Schizosaccharomyces pombe: one gene and its partner. The protein of the gene in region 2 interacts with the protein of the main gene of each other region in a pairwise test. Each region holds a gene or a part of one and is shown on either strand. Other genes may lie near its edges.

Evidence for each region. Proteins that work in one complex are often made in the same cells at the same time.
Region 1: the proteins of SPOM_SPAC13C5.05C (region 2) and sam1 interact in a two-hybrid assay, tested with the Schizosaccharomyces pombe proteins (one large-scale study listed by BioGRID).

Annotation. Positions count from the first base shown.
Region 1 is NC_003423.3:4,160,113-4,167,772, reverse strand, and holds sam1 (S-adenosylmethionine synthetase), read left to right. Parts: upstream 1-3,914; 5' UTR 3,915-4,096; coding exon 4,097-5,245; 3' UTR 5,246-5,704; downstream 5,705-7,660. Other genes in the region: ubiquitin ligase Doa10, read right to left, coding at 19-57, 112-185; Fe-sulfur ATPase Rli1, read right to left, coding at 896-2,620, 3,058-3,114. UniProt on the Schizosaccharomyces pombe protein: Catalyzes the formation of S-adenosylmethionine from methionine and ATP. The reaction comprises two steps that are both catalyzed by the same enzyme: formation of S-adenosylmethionine (AdoMet) and triphosphate, and subsequent hydrolysis of the triphosphate.
Region 2 is NC_003424.3:428,416-435,935, reverse strand, and holds SPOM_SPAC13C5.05C (N-acetylglucosamine-phosphate mutase), read left to right. Parts: upstream 1-2,716; 5' UTR 2,717-2,732; coding exon 2,733-2,782; exon of another isoform or gene 2,783-2,822; coding exon 2,823-2,908; exon of another isoform or gene 2,909-2,953; coding exon 2,954-4,374; 3' UTR 4,375-4,569; downstream 4,570-7,520. Other genes in the region: protein mug121, read left to right, coding at 835-1,060, 1,105-1,412; SPOM_SPAC13C5.04 (amidotransferase), read right to left, coding at 5,060-5,806; nuclear membrane protein Tht1, read right to left, coding at 6,618-7,283, 7,346-7,520. UniProt on the Schizosaccharomyces pombe protein: Catalyzes the conversion of GlcNAc-6-P into GlcNAc-1-P during the synthesis of uridine diphosphate/UDP-GlcNAc, which is a biosynthetic precursor of chitin and also supplies the amino sugars for N-linked oligosaccharides of glycoproteins.

The DNA of each region.
Region 1 (7,660 bases), on a different chromosome or scaffold from region 2:
TCATCAGTAAAAACTTACCATTCCTGATGAACATATCTGATACTTCCAGTACATTTACTAAATTCGTGTTATTATTTTAAATTGCATAAAAATTTATCAATGAATTCTTACCATGGATGGAAGAGAGGTGAATCTGGTGCTCCCTCACACCGGCACACCCGGCAAATTTCATCATCTGCGTTCATTGTATTGCATTCAAGTCAAGTGGACAGTAAATACGCTGAAGGAATTCCTCAAGGCGACGACTATTACCACTTTGCCTTTGATTACTCTAAGGGCTTATGTTTAGGTGTTGGCAACTAGTTGTCTTCTTGTATGGCAAAACTCGTCCCAGCTTAACGAGAAGTAACGTTGATACTTTTCATGAAATTTCAAGTATGTTAGAAAATGGTGAAAATAACATAACCAGGAGGTCTAACAATGGATGTTTTGAAAAAAACACTCCAATTTGTTTTATTATTTAGAAAACACGGAAAACTAGCTTATATAGAACTCAACGCCACATTATCAAATATAGCTTTACAATACATTCAAGGGAATTTGTTCTCGTTAAATCTTACACATACTTTTCAAAACGTGAGAATTTATACGACCAAGTTGAAATTAGCTTAAAACACAAACAATTATATATAGTGTAAATTAAAGAGACGTTCACACTCTGAGAATTTATTGTATTTCAACTAATATTTCATACAACAATTCCCAAATACCAAATAAATTCTAAAACAAGTGCCCAATTACCTTAAGCATAATTATATGAAATAGACAAGAACTTTTTTTCTCAAAGAAGGCCGCCTCCAAACAAAGCTTTTTTACAACCAAAACCAATTTTGAGTATACAATTATGGAAACAAGGCAAGTAAACATAATAGAACCCCAGTATAGCCATTAAACATTAATTTTCAAGGAAAAAATAATTTCCTGCATTCTTTTGCTCTTGATCCATTTGACTGTCGAACTTGTTGATACGTGGTCTCAAGGTATTAGGATCACGACGGAATGTAACATCCAAGTTCTTCAAGAAAGTGTTCATACCAGTAAGAAGTGATTGAGGAGGATTACATCTAGCATCACGAGAAGGTTGTCCCTCGAAAAGGATGACACGGTCAGCCAAATAAGTAGCCATGATAAAATCGTGTTCAACGATAAAAGCAGTCTTGCGTGAGTTGACAATAAATCTCCTAATAACCTTGGAAGCAATAATACGCTGCTCTGAATCAAGATAAGCAGAAGGCTCGTCAATTAAGTACACATCAGCAGGCATACCCAAAGCTAAGCAAATGGCAACACGTTGCAATTCACCACCAGACAAGTTCAATACCTCTTGATCAATGATGTTGTCAATGCTAAGAGGCTTGCAAACTTCACTCTGAAACTTGCCATTCAAGAAAGCAGCACGAATCTTTTTCAAAAACAGCATACGAACGGTACCTTGAAATTTAGGTGCGATTGTTTGGGGCTTCATGCTAATCTTCAAATCCGAGTTCTTAGCCATCCACTTGCAGAATGTAGTTTTACCAGTACCATTCTCACCAAGCAATACAATAATCTCAGCATCAGAAAAACCACCAGACTTAATTGTAAGCTTGAAATCACCTTGCTCAATGACATGATCGGGATAATTGTACTCCGCAGTTCTGTCAGCGGTAATTTCATCAGATGCGTCAGCAAGACGGAATGTCAATGCCTCAGAACGGAATCTCAAATTCTCGGTAGGAATATGACCGTCAAGGAAAATATTAATACCTTCACGAACAGAATAGGGGAGAGTGACAACACCATACATAGAGGGGACGCCGTATAATACACAAACGAAATCGGAGAGATAATCAAGGACGGAAAGATCGTGTTCAACAACAATCACATAGTTGGTAGTAGCCAACAAGCTGCGGATTACACGACCAGCTTTGAGACGTTGTTTAATATCCAAATAAGACGAAGGCTCGTCAAACATGTAAACGTCAGCTTTTTGAGTGGCTACGGCAGCAATAGCAAATCGTTGAAGCTCACCACCAGAAAGATGGCCAACCTCACGATTTAAAAGATTTTGAAGATCGGTGTGATCCATAACTTCTTCAAAATTATTGTTGTTTGCACGAGCTTTAATTAAACCAGATACAGTTTTGTCACCAGTTTTAATCGCCCGTGGGATATGATCAACGTATTGAGGTTTGATAAGAGCCTTAATGTTATCTTCAACAACTTTGGTGAAAAAGTTTTGAAGTTCACTACCACGGAAGTATTTGACAACTTCAGCCCAGTCAGGAGGATTATCATAACGACCTAAATTAGGCTTCATTTTTCCGGATAGGATCTTTAACGCAGTAGACTTTCCAATACCGTTAGTACCAACTAAGCCCAAAACTTGACCAGGACGAGGAGTAGGCAAACGATGAAGCTTGAAAGAATTAGCAGAGTAACGATGGGTTACTTCACTTTCCAAGTTAGTGGGCAAATTAATAATGTTGATAGCTCCGAATGGACATTTTTTGACACAGATACCACAACCAATACATAATGTTTCACTAATAAATGCAATGCGATCGGTAGGATTAACTTCAATACACAATTTACCGGTGCGCACGACAGGGCAAGACCGGCGGCATTCTTGCCGACATTTCTAAAATATTGGTGAGCAAACTAATAAAAACCAAACATTCTAAAACCAGAAGCATTAAAAGCAAAGGAAAGTTTCGTAAGCAAGCAATAAAACGTATTTTAACGTGACACAGACCACTTTGAAAGTTTATTTAAATTTTCGGTCCTTTACCTTACAAGAACCTTTAGATTCGTTTAACCAACATATGGTGACAGCCAAGCCAAGCAAAAATTTACTACTAGTCCGAAAGTGCTTGGCAGATCGTAACAGGATCAAAAAATCTGAACAGAGGTACAATCAGGGCAGTTAAAATATGTTTTAATACTTGAACAAACAAAATTTGACTCAACTCTTTTCGTGGAAAACTTTGTGCACACACAAAAAAGCTCCAGTCATCCACAACGAGTAGACTATAACCTTCTACTAATAAAGCTCCTTTAATTTTTTTATTTTCTTACCTTTGGTCTACACTTATCCTCACTAACAATGGCGATTCTAGTAAGACTTTCGCTCATGGTGTTGAGTAGGGTGCAGTTGGCAAAGGACAACTTAAGGTGCGCCCAATTTTTTGCTTGTACTACCAGTCAACCTACTACAGTTTATAAAAATGCTACATTACATTTCGAATAAAATAAATAAAAAAGATAAATTCAAGTTTCTGAGACTGTAGAAAGATGTATTTTCTTAAATCGTCATTACGAAAATTTTTTATTGCCAATACGGACCTAGCGCTAAGTCATTGCCCATTTAATTGCAGACCAAATAATTGGTCAAAGATATGAAAGTTTGGAAGAGCCAGTTTTTGCAATTAAAAAACATAAGAATGAAGAAAAGAAAAACATCCTTCAATCTGCATAAATACTTATAAGATGCACATTGCATTAGCACACTCAATGCCCAAGTCCAGCCAATATCTAAGGGGACAGCTGGGTTTATTATATATTCAAGCTTCTTTAAATATCTACTAAATTTGCAGTATATAGTTCATCAATCGTAAACATAATTGTAAAAATAAATTGACAGTCAAAGACCCTTCTACTTTTACTTCAAATTGAAAATACAGCGATTTATCAAAATACGAAATACACTTTTTCGTGCTTTCCTTATTTTTTTAATTCATTACAGTCTAGCACTATAAAAAATTTAACATACTATTACCCCTGCTTTTAAATAACAATTGCGCAGAACAATTTGTCTCTACCAGATATCACTATTCTAAAATTGCTCAAGAAATTGAAAAAATGGCGCTACCATCCTGATAAGCAGTCACAACTATAATCAGCATATAAGGCTAAAGAATAACCTTACTTGCTTTACGAAACCTTGAGAGCTTCTTTTGACGAAATTCGCAAGCATATCTACATTTATTAGATTCATTGATAAAGAAGGGTTTTCATTGTTTCCTTATATTTGACGAAACTAATCGCTTGTCTTATTGTTCAATCTTTTCTAGTTTTTTGATTCCATATTTCCTTTACAAGTATCTTGGATTCCCCAATGGCTCAAACTTTTTTGTTTACTTCTGAATCTGTCGGTGAAGGTCATCCTGACAAAATTTGCGACCAAATATCTGACGCTATTTTGGATGCTTGTTTGAAGGATGACCCCTTTTCCAAGGTAGCATGTGAGACCGCTTCCAAAACCGGTATGGTAATGGTTTTTGGTGAAATTACTACTCGCTCACAAATTGACTACCAAAAGGTTATTCGTAATACCATTAAGAGCATCGGTTATGATGACTCTGAGAAGGGTTTCGATTACAAGACTTGCAACGTCCTCGTCGCCATCGAGCAACAATCTCCTGATATCGCTCAAGGTCTTCACTATGAGAAGGCTTTGGAAGAGCTCGGTGCTGGTGACCAGGGTATTATGTTTGGCTATGCAACTGATGAGACCCCCGAGAAGTTACCTTTGACCATTCTCCTTGCTCACAAACTCAATGCTGCCATGTCTGTCGCTCGTCGTGATGGATCTCTTCCATGGTTGCGTCCTGATACCAAGACTCAAGTCACTATTGAATATGAAGAGGAAAACGGTGCTGTCATCCCCCGTCGTGTAGATACCATCGTCGTCTCTGCTCAACACGCTGATAGCATCTCTACTGAAGACTTGCGTTCTGAAATTTTGGAGAAGATCATTAAGCCTACTGTCCCTGCTCATTTGTTAGATGAGAAGACTGTTTACCACATCCAACCTTCTGGTCGTTTCGTTGTTGGTGGTCCTCAAGGTGATGCTGGTCTCACTGGTCGTAAGATTATTGTTGATACCTATGGTGGCTGGGGTGCTCACGGTGGTGGTGCCTTCTCTGGTAAAGACTACTCCAAGGTCGATCGTTCTGCCGCCTATGCTGCTCGTTGGATTGCCAAATCTTTGGTTGCTGCTGGTTTGGCTCGCCGCTGCCTTGTCCAACTCTCCTATGCTATTGGTGTTGCTGAGCCCCTTTCTATTTTTGTCAATACTTACGGCACTTCTTCCAAGACATCTGCTGAGCTTGTTGAAATTATCCGCAAGAACTTTGACCTTCGTCCTGGTGTTTTGGTCAAAAGCCTTAAGCTTCAAACTCCTTTCTATCTTTCCACCGCTTCTTACGGTCACTTCACTGATCAATCCAAGCCTTGGGAACAACCTAAGGAGCTTAAGTTTTAGACAGATAGCTTAGTGCTATCATTAGCTTTTCTCGTTTGTTACGTTAAATACGATTAGAACATGTAACGAATTCTCAGTTGATGGCTTTATGGATACATGGTTTTCTTTAAAGATGAAAAGATTTTAGAGTTGTCTTTATTTATTCTATGTTTGCTTCTTTGTTCTTCAATTGTGAAAGATATATGGTTTTATATGTTAAGTCCTGGTTCAACGGATATGTATTTTTTTTTGGACTGGGTAGGCACAAATTCAACCTTTGTGTTTATGACTGCATCTCGAAGCGGAAAATACACTAAGCCAAAAATTTTTTTGCATACCGACATGTTAATGTTTCTTTTACCGATAGGCTTAGTGTTATTTGATGCTTTTCACGATAGTTATTATTTGCTGACTTTCAACTAGTTGGCCACTTTCGTTTAAATTGAGTTAATTATATGTTAATGGATTTGGTTCAAGACATAGTGTTTTAATCGTATAAGAACGAGTACTCATCTTCACTGTAGCTAATTTAGCTCGCTCACTTGTAACAAGGTGCATGCACACACAATACAAGCGTTTTGATTTTATTGTAATTTGTAATGAATTGAAAATGTCAAACTTAAAAAGGTAGACAATCATTCAGCTTTCAAGATGATCTGTGATAGTAAATGTCATTGGATTAAAACACATTGCTTGCTTACATTATTGTATTTATGGAATAAGCGATGGATTCTCAGCGATCCTAAAAGTACTTAGAATTATATTGGTCTTTTTTTTTGTAGTATAAATATTCAAAAATTCTTCACTAGATGTCTACGGCCATACCTAGGCGAAAACACCAGTTCCCGTCCGATCACTGCAGTTAAGCGTCTGAGGGCCTCGTTAGTACTATGGTTGGAGACAACATGGGAATCCGGGGTTTTGTAGGTTCCTTCTTTATTATTGCTGTTTGGTTTTTACCTTCTCTTTTGGAGCATATTTTGAGTACTGAATTGTGAATCTCAAATTCTATAGATGTTGCTACTCGTTGATTAAGCAATGCTAGAGCAGACTTTGAACTCTCAAATCAAATAATTAAGAAGTTTATGAAAGAAGGCTCTTGTCTTTGTCATGGGTATCGTCAAGCAAAATTCGATGTCTACATCAGATATTGTATAGGAAAATTATCAGATGAATTAGGAAGCATTGTCAACATGCAGAAAGAAATACGGTGTACCATAATACAACATTTGGAATATTTACTTCAATCTGCTAAACTACTTTAGAAGTCAACCACATAATATGGTATTGTCAGCAATACTGCACTACGATATGACATACTACGTTGCGTATCACTATATGTCACATGTTCAACATCAGATCATAGATATCCGTTGATAACAACTATTAGAAAGATTATAAATAGAGCTACAACTGAACCTCGTTCCTCAATTCAGTTATGAGCTATATCGGTGACCGATACTAACAGACTTCTTATAACAATAAATATACATTGTTAGTTAACATACCGCATACCGCTACATTGTAGATCGCAAGTAAAAACTCACCGCAGTTCTATATATCGTTAAAACAGATATCAAACTGCGTAGCTAACCAGTATATATTATAACAATACATGAACCTACGGTAAGTTTTCCTTGTGATCTATATATTGCAATATGTAAATAACACAGTAGCAACTGAATAAAAGGTATTCTAATATTTGAAATGTATGCTTTATCTTTACTGAAAAAGCCTTAGCTAAAGTGGAGAACGAGATTCAGTTCATCTCAGTTTACACTATGAATTGCTAGTATTGTAACAGCTAGTTATCTTATCATATTATATAATAAAATCTCTAGCATGAAAACTTATCACGTTAAGTTGGTAGAGTAAATAAAACATGGGACATATAGTGATACGCACGAAATGAATACACAGAGTATGTTGTATTGTTGATGTCGAAAAGTGTGTCTTCATGCTGTGAAAAGAAGCTGTTATCAAAAAAAAACGTTTGTCCAAAACGTAAATCCAGTAAAATGTTTTTGCTACATTAAAAGACACTTTAGGAATGAAGCATGATAGTAAATTAGAATTTCATCTGAAACTAGCAGATATTGATCCTACACTTTCCAATACTGCACTTAACAATTTACGAGCAAAATCTCTCAGTATTTGCTATTCAGCTATTGCTTGATGTCTGTTGCAAATGTTGAATTGACTTTTAAAAATTTTTTGAATCTACTTGACGAGCAAAAATCGCTAATTTAATTAACGTTACAAAAATTAATTTAAGCTGCTATTGAATGTACTCCAGCTAGCTGCATCCTTCTCTGCAACACTTCTCGTCGTATCGATAACAGTGCCGATGCAAACCTTAGCTTTGCAACCTTCACATTCGTTATAGAGGCAAACAAAACAGCACTAGGTGGAAAAGGAGCAGCGAACTCCCAACCA
Region 2 (7,520 bases):
ATTGAGAAGATAAAAGTACACTCATAGCCTACTAGGAAGGTTTCTTCTTTTGGATTTTTGCTGTTACATATGACGCATGTTACTTGTTTCCTTAGGTTGATGGCAAAAGTTTTCTAACTTGGGCTATATCCTTCTTTGAACCAAGAAGGGATCGGTAGACGGAAAGTTTTTTGGTCCGTTGAAATCAAAACCTACCGATAATGCGAGGACCTTAAAGCCGTGTAACTACTAAAACAAAGATTTAAATTAGTGAATGTGATGTTTCTTACATTACTTTGTGCTCCAAAAATAAATTTGACCAAAATCTATTTTATGTACCAATACTGCCATTGGTAAACTTCTAAGCCATTTGAAAAATCCGCTATATTAAATTTGGTGCTGCAAATGTGAAGCTACAATACGCAACTTCGGATTCTTTAAATTTAGGTCATAAAGCAATATTGCCTTTCATGAAAGTAAGGTTAATGTTGGAAAACTGATTTAAATCACATAACCTTATTGTATTGGTTGGTTATATCCGATTTCTTGCAGAAGTACATTCTGTGTTTTTGAACGTTTTTTGTACCGTGAAAGAATTAATCAAAATTACTTTGGAGTTTCGATTGATTGTTATGGGTTTACCTGGACTTTTTAAGATTCTCTCTGCATTGTTTATCATATAATGAGTATTTAGCGTAATGTTTATATCATCGTTGTAAGCGGCATTGCCGGCTCGGTTAGGTTTAATCCTAAAGTTATTTCTCTAACGGAAGCAATATAAAAACAACGGAATTAGCCATGCTTTCTTTCAACATTTGAGTGCAAGTTTTTAAGTTTTGAGTGAAAACAACACTTATGAAGGGTTTTGTTGTCATTTCCCGATTCATTTTGACACTTTTCATACTTATCACTCCCGGTTTGGCCGGTGTAGTCAATTATGCAGAAAATAGTGAATGGAATGTTCCTAAGTACGGAAACGTCTTAGATTCTAACTGTCAAGGGCAGAAACCTGTTACATTTTTTGGATCTGTAACTGAACATGTTTCAAATTCCTGGTGGATTAAACTTTACGATTATATGAGTACGTTGATGATACATCCATTCCAATTGGCTAATTATATTTAGTGACTTTTATTAGTGGTGAAAAGTTGTGCATGCAGAATGTTGCGTACGAATTTGAAGATATTTCTTTATGTATGGATGTAGTAGGCAGTAAATGCATTCCAACTTTGCAATCAACGGATATTGAGAAAGTTGTCAATTCAACATCTGCTTACTTAGAAAATTCCGAGTCCGACTTAACTTTGGGATGTTTTCAAATCCAAAGATTTCAGGAAGAAAGCACATTGTATATCAGGGCCCTCAAATCATCTGAACCCGTTTCATGCGACACAGTGCGTTGCATTCATTTCAACCATATTCCTTACGTATAGAATGATCTTTTGACATGCTTTTTACTTACAACTACAACGGTTCAATGAATTGAGAAGTTTTTTTTTTTGAATAGGCATACCGCAAAGATTAATGAGTCCGTTTTCATCGATTTATGTTGTCTTTTATAGAGTTGTATTCACAAAATTTTCTGAACAAATTTGGATTGTTGTTGTGTTGCAGCAGCTAGTTCATTTGGTCAACAAGACTGCAAGGATATTTTAAATTAGACTCAGAAACTAGAGATAATTTGTTTACCTTGTTGTGAGCTTGGGAGATCAAGCTTTTTGCTGTGTTTTATGATATTATTTATCCCGTTAATTTTTACTTACGTTTCTGAATGGAATGTGAAAGCCTTTTTATTATATAAGTTTGAATTGCTTTAGTATACAGGCTTCAAAAAAATTTTTATGTGATTCTCGAATCAGTATATTGTAATTGGTGTATTTCGTAATTTATTGGCATAATAAGATCTTGCAAATTGTCCAGATGTGTTTTAAAATCTTGTTATTAGCATGTATGCTGTTTAAACCGCAATTTAAACAATGTGTTGAAACGCTCTATTGCTCTTCTCGCTTAATACAAGATATTTATGTGCTTGTGAATTTAGAATGAGTAATTGCTATTACAAACTTAGGAAATGTAAGTCTGTTCACTTAGTCGAAATACTTAAGTGTATTCTAACTAGTACAGGAAGTGAGAAATCCAAACTATTGTTGACATGTTTGTTGCCCAAAAATTCTACAGAACATGCTAATGCGACTATAAAGACAATATAGAGAAATCCGTAAAACTATATTAAAAAGGTTACTTGTCCATTCAGCTCATTGAAAGTCAATTAAAACTGTTTTATTTAATAGCTTTTCGATACGTAGTTTCCTTACAATTAATAAGCTATCAACTATTTTTATCAAAACAACATAAACAAATTTTTAAAACTGGGATTAAAAACAATCTTAGTTGAGTTTAGCATAAAATCTTAAAGTGTAAACATTTACGTTTATTCTTTAGGCAAACCGCAATTGATTAATCTGAGCCAAATCTTAAAAATTGTATTAGAAACAGCGGTTCCTAATTTGAAATAAAAACATTACTATGATGGGCTTTATGTAAACATTGGAAGAAAACGAGAGGATATAAAATTGTGCAGAGTACTTTTAGCTCCAAAACACGTTCGAGGTTTTAAACGAATTGCTATCAAATAATTTAAAATCTATCAATCTGCAGAAGCGAAATGCAGAGAGGCTGAGTTGTTATTTTCGACTGAATTTACTTATTGCGTGACAAACTCGCTTCTTTATTTACTAACAGCAACTAACACAATGACCAAGAACAAAAAATATTCATATGGAACTGCTGGTTTTCGAACAAAGTAAGTTAATATAATGCAGCTTTCATTAACTTGATCAAAGAGCTAGTGATTTGGAAGCAGCTGTTTATAGTTCTGGAGTTGCAGCAGCTTTGCGTAGCATGGAGCTAAAAGGGAAAACTATTGGCGGTATGTGTAGTCAAGTAGAAATATTTGATTAATAATAATAAATAGTAATGATTACTGCTTCTCATAATCCTGTGGAAGATAATGGTGTGAAGATCATTGACGCCGATGGCGGTATGCTCGCTATGGAATGGGAGGATAAATGCACACAACTTGCGAACGCCCCTTCCAAGGCAGAATTTGATTTTTTAATCAAGCAATTTTTGACTCCTACTACCTGCCAGCCCAAAGTTATTATAGGTTATGATACCAGACCCTCCTCACCCAGACTCGCTGAGTTACTGAAGGTATGCTTGGATGAAATGTCTGCAAGCTACATAGATTATGGGTATATTACAACACCACAGTTGCATTGGCTGGTGAGGTTGATAAACAAATCTACCGCAGCTTCTTTTCTTGAAGAAGGGCCACCCATTACTGAGTATTATGATACATTAACGTCAGCCTTTTCTAAAATAGATCCTTCAATGCAGGATAGCCCTACGGTTTCTCGCGTTGTAGTAGACTGTGCAAATGGTGTAGGATCGCAACCCTTAAAAACAGTAGCGGGCCTTGTTAAGGACAGCCTTTCTATAGAACTCGTTAACACAGATGTTCGGGCCAGTGAGTTACTTAACAATGGCTGTGGAGCAGACTTTGTAAAGACGAAACAGTCCCCTCCGCTTGCCCTTGAAGGAAAAATTAAGCCAAATCAACTCTACGCTTCCATTGATGGTGATGCCGATCGACTGATCTTCTATTACATAAATCAAAATAGGAAATTTCATCTTCTTGATGGAGACAAAATTAGTACTGCTCTCGTTGGCTACTTGAACATATTGGTTAAAAAGTCCGGTATGCCTTTTTCTTTAGGCGTTGTCCAAACCGCGTACGCCAATGGCGCTTCAACTGAGTATCTTCAAGATTTGGGCATTACTACTGTCTTCACTCCCACTGGTGTTAAACATCTTCATAAAGCAGCCAAAGAGTTTGATATTGGTGTCTACTTCGAGGCAAATGGCCATGGTACTGTTTTGTTCAGCGACAAGGCGCTTGCTAACTTAGCACATCCTTTCTTTACACCTTCACCAGTTCAAGCGGCTGCTATAGAGCAATTACAAAGCTATTCCGTTTTGATCAACCAAGCTATAGGTGATGCAATTAGTGATCTTCTTGCTACGATTTCGGTACTTAATGCATTACATTGGGATGCTAGTGCATGGAGCAATACTTATAAGGACTTGCCTAACAAACTAGCTAAGGTTAAAGTTTCCGATCGCACAATATATAAAAGTACAGATGCTGAACGAAGACTTGTGAGCCCAGATGGATTACAAGAGAAAATTGACGCACTTGTTGCAAAGTACGAAAAGGGAAGATCATTTGTTAGAGCATCTGGAACAGAAGACGTTGTACGAGTTTACGCTGAGGCCAGCACAAAACAAGCGGCAGATGAACTTTGTGAAAAAGTTTGTCAGCTAGTATTATAATTGTTAAATTTCCTTTTCGAAATTACTACTCATTTGTTTACGACATAATCAAAAAATTTATCGCTTGACGTTATGTTTAAAATAATAAAAACATTGAGTGATGCTTTAAAACCGTGCTTTATTCTATCTAATTATAGAGCCATGTGATGCTTAAAAGTAATAATCACAAGTAAGCAAAATTGCAAAGAACTGATGAAAATGTTAGTAAAATTTTAATTTATAAAATTAAAAATAATATTCGTTTTTTGAACAATTTTTACTTTCAGAAATAAAGGGTCTGTTCCTCTTCACTGACAAATAAATGTCTGAGAGTGGTGCATGAGACAGTGTATCATCATTAAAGTAAAATTAAACTTTTTCTTTTTACTTACCAAAACTAATAAGTTGACGGTTTAAACATATTTGGAGTTTGGTTAATTTACTGTAATGGTTTTCAGTTTACAAATAAATAGGTCTGCACGTGACTGTCTTTCTAAAGCCGACGGTCATTTTGCTATTGCAATTTTTGTCATGCAAATATACAATAAAGTATATAATCGTTTAAGTTTTTAATTGATTTAAACTGATATATCATTAGACATTTAGTGGAAGATATCTAGTGAAAGTCATTAAAGCGTTAATAAGTAATGTAGGGAAGAAGTGTAGAAACATTATAAGCAAACACTCTTGTCATAACAGATTTAACTTATTCCAAAAGAAATTTAACAATTGATACCGCGAGGAAGTCATTGTCGGCTGGATTTTCTGAGCGTTTCAATGCTTCTTCTTTTTGCTGTTCGGTAAATACTTCAGTTCCGCGGAGAACTTTTACCATCGTATTGACAACTTCTGTGCTAAACTCTGGATGTCCTTGAAATGTTAGTGCCTGTCGAGGCTTGTAAAATATTTGAAATTCACAATCTTCAGTAGAACCCAATAGCTCAAACCCTTCGGGAACATCAACTGCCATGTCTTGATGCATTTGGTTAATATTGATGACTTTTCTACCAAAGAACTTCTCCCCGTTTTCAGTAAGTTGAACAACAGTAGAAGAAACTTCCCATCCTTTAGGATTTTGAATAATAGGAACGCCGGCAGCTTTGGCAACGATTTGATGACCAAAACAGAGACCTACAATTTTAATATGTGGGTATTTAAATAAAACGTCTTTCACAAAGCTTATCAATTTCTTTATCCAAGGAGCGTCGCTTGTTGCAGATGCTTTGGAGCCGGTTATAATGATTGCGTTTATATTTGGAAAATCTTCTTTTTGAGGATAATCGTTTGGATTCTTATATACCTCGTAAGTTTTGGTAACTAAGTTCCATTCTGTAGAATAATATTCGGAACCTGATTGAAGCAACGATTTAACCATATCTGCATAATCACCGTATGCGCTGGTGATTTCTACCATTGGTGTATCTGCGTTCAGAATCGCAATATGATAATCCATTTTCAAATTAAAATCTTTTTAGTTGATAAATAAAAGCCTTGGAAAAAATATGAACTAGACGGGTAGTATATATATGTAGGAATTTTGCGAGTTCTAACCGCTATAATTACGTTATGTCCTCATGTGTGTAGCATGAATGAACAAACGGGATAAATGGTCAAGCAATTGACGACAGGCGTTAAGCTAGTATTTCACATTCACTGAAGAATCTAGATAAACCATTTCGTAAACTACTGTTTTTGTCAACGTTACGTAACATATTATAATCGTTTGGATCACAAAAACCTTTAGTACCACTTCAATTAAGAAGAAAATTATTTGCCTTCGACTTTTTCGGTTATTTTCTTACTTAGTATAATAAGGTTTTTGCTAAGGTGATGACAGAGAGAACGATTTGCAAAAAGTTTGAATATAAGATATTTTTAGTAAGTTTAATCCATTTCAATTAGTTGAATAAATTGATGTTGAAGAAGGTGATGGAACAGGTGTTCAGATTTATGTATCGCATGATTGTTCATGAAAATGACTTAATGTCCTCTAAATATTGATAGTAATAGTTCACCACTTTAGGAAATAATGAACAAGGAGTTTTGTATTTCATAGGGATTAATCTTCAATTGTTTTAACTCAAACATAGTCATACACGTTGACATTTTTTATGCGCCTAAAATTTTCTACCATATCATACAGGTATCGGTAATTGCTCTAAGTCGAAATGCTCGTTCACATCACGCTTTGATGTCATGTGAATGAAAACGAGTAAAAAAGATTCTTAAGATGTAGAATTTATTAATTCGAATTAGAAAGATGACTAATCCCACCATGGAGATTGCTCCAAACTTTCACTATTCAGGAAAGCAAACCTAACATTTTCCTGTTTGCCCAGTTTTTCCTTATTATTTTCAGAGCCAAAGAGGTCGATTAACGAGTTTTCTATTGGGCATAGATAATTGTCTTCTTGAACTTGAATATGTTCATTATGATATATATTGCACTCCTCTGGTGCTGGAAGGAAAAGAGATAGCTCCGTATCTTTTTTGGAATTTCGGTATTTTAGATATCGCAGAAAATTTAATAAAGCACATAAAAATGCTGTCAGATAGAAAGTACGGATATTTAATTTAATAAACGAGAGAGTTCGCGCAATAGTGCAAGTGATCCATCCGTAAAGATTCACCCATGAGGTAATCTTAAAGCAGTAAATATGAATAAAGATTATTGATAAGGAGCCGAATACAATAATCGGTCGGCGATGTATTTTTAAAACTTTGAAAAATAAACTGCTTAAGGTAGCGAACAGCGTGAAGCCTATAAAAGCAAAACTGCTAATAATGTTGGACAATCCTTTAAAATATACATTCATAAACTTCTCAACAATGTCAATAAGAGGCCTTAACTGTTGAAGTACCTTAAGGTGATCTTTACTGACATTTAAGAAGTCTGACTTCCATTGAAGTATCTGTTCGTGTTGCAAATTCTATACAGTACTGTTAGACAAAGCAATAACGATGAATATAAAAACCATTAAGTAAAACTAACCTGTTGCTCAGAGGATAAACGTTTCAATGATTGAAGCTCCTCTTTCAATTGAATTGTAAGATCGTATAACGGTTGAAAACCTGAGTTAACAAAATCGATGTTGGATTGCACTGATTGCTGTAATGAATCCTCGGTTGTAGTAATTAAATTTTTTATCCTTTTTTCCATAAAAGCA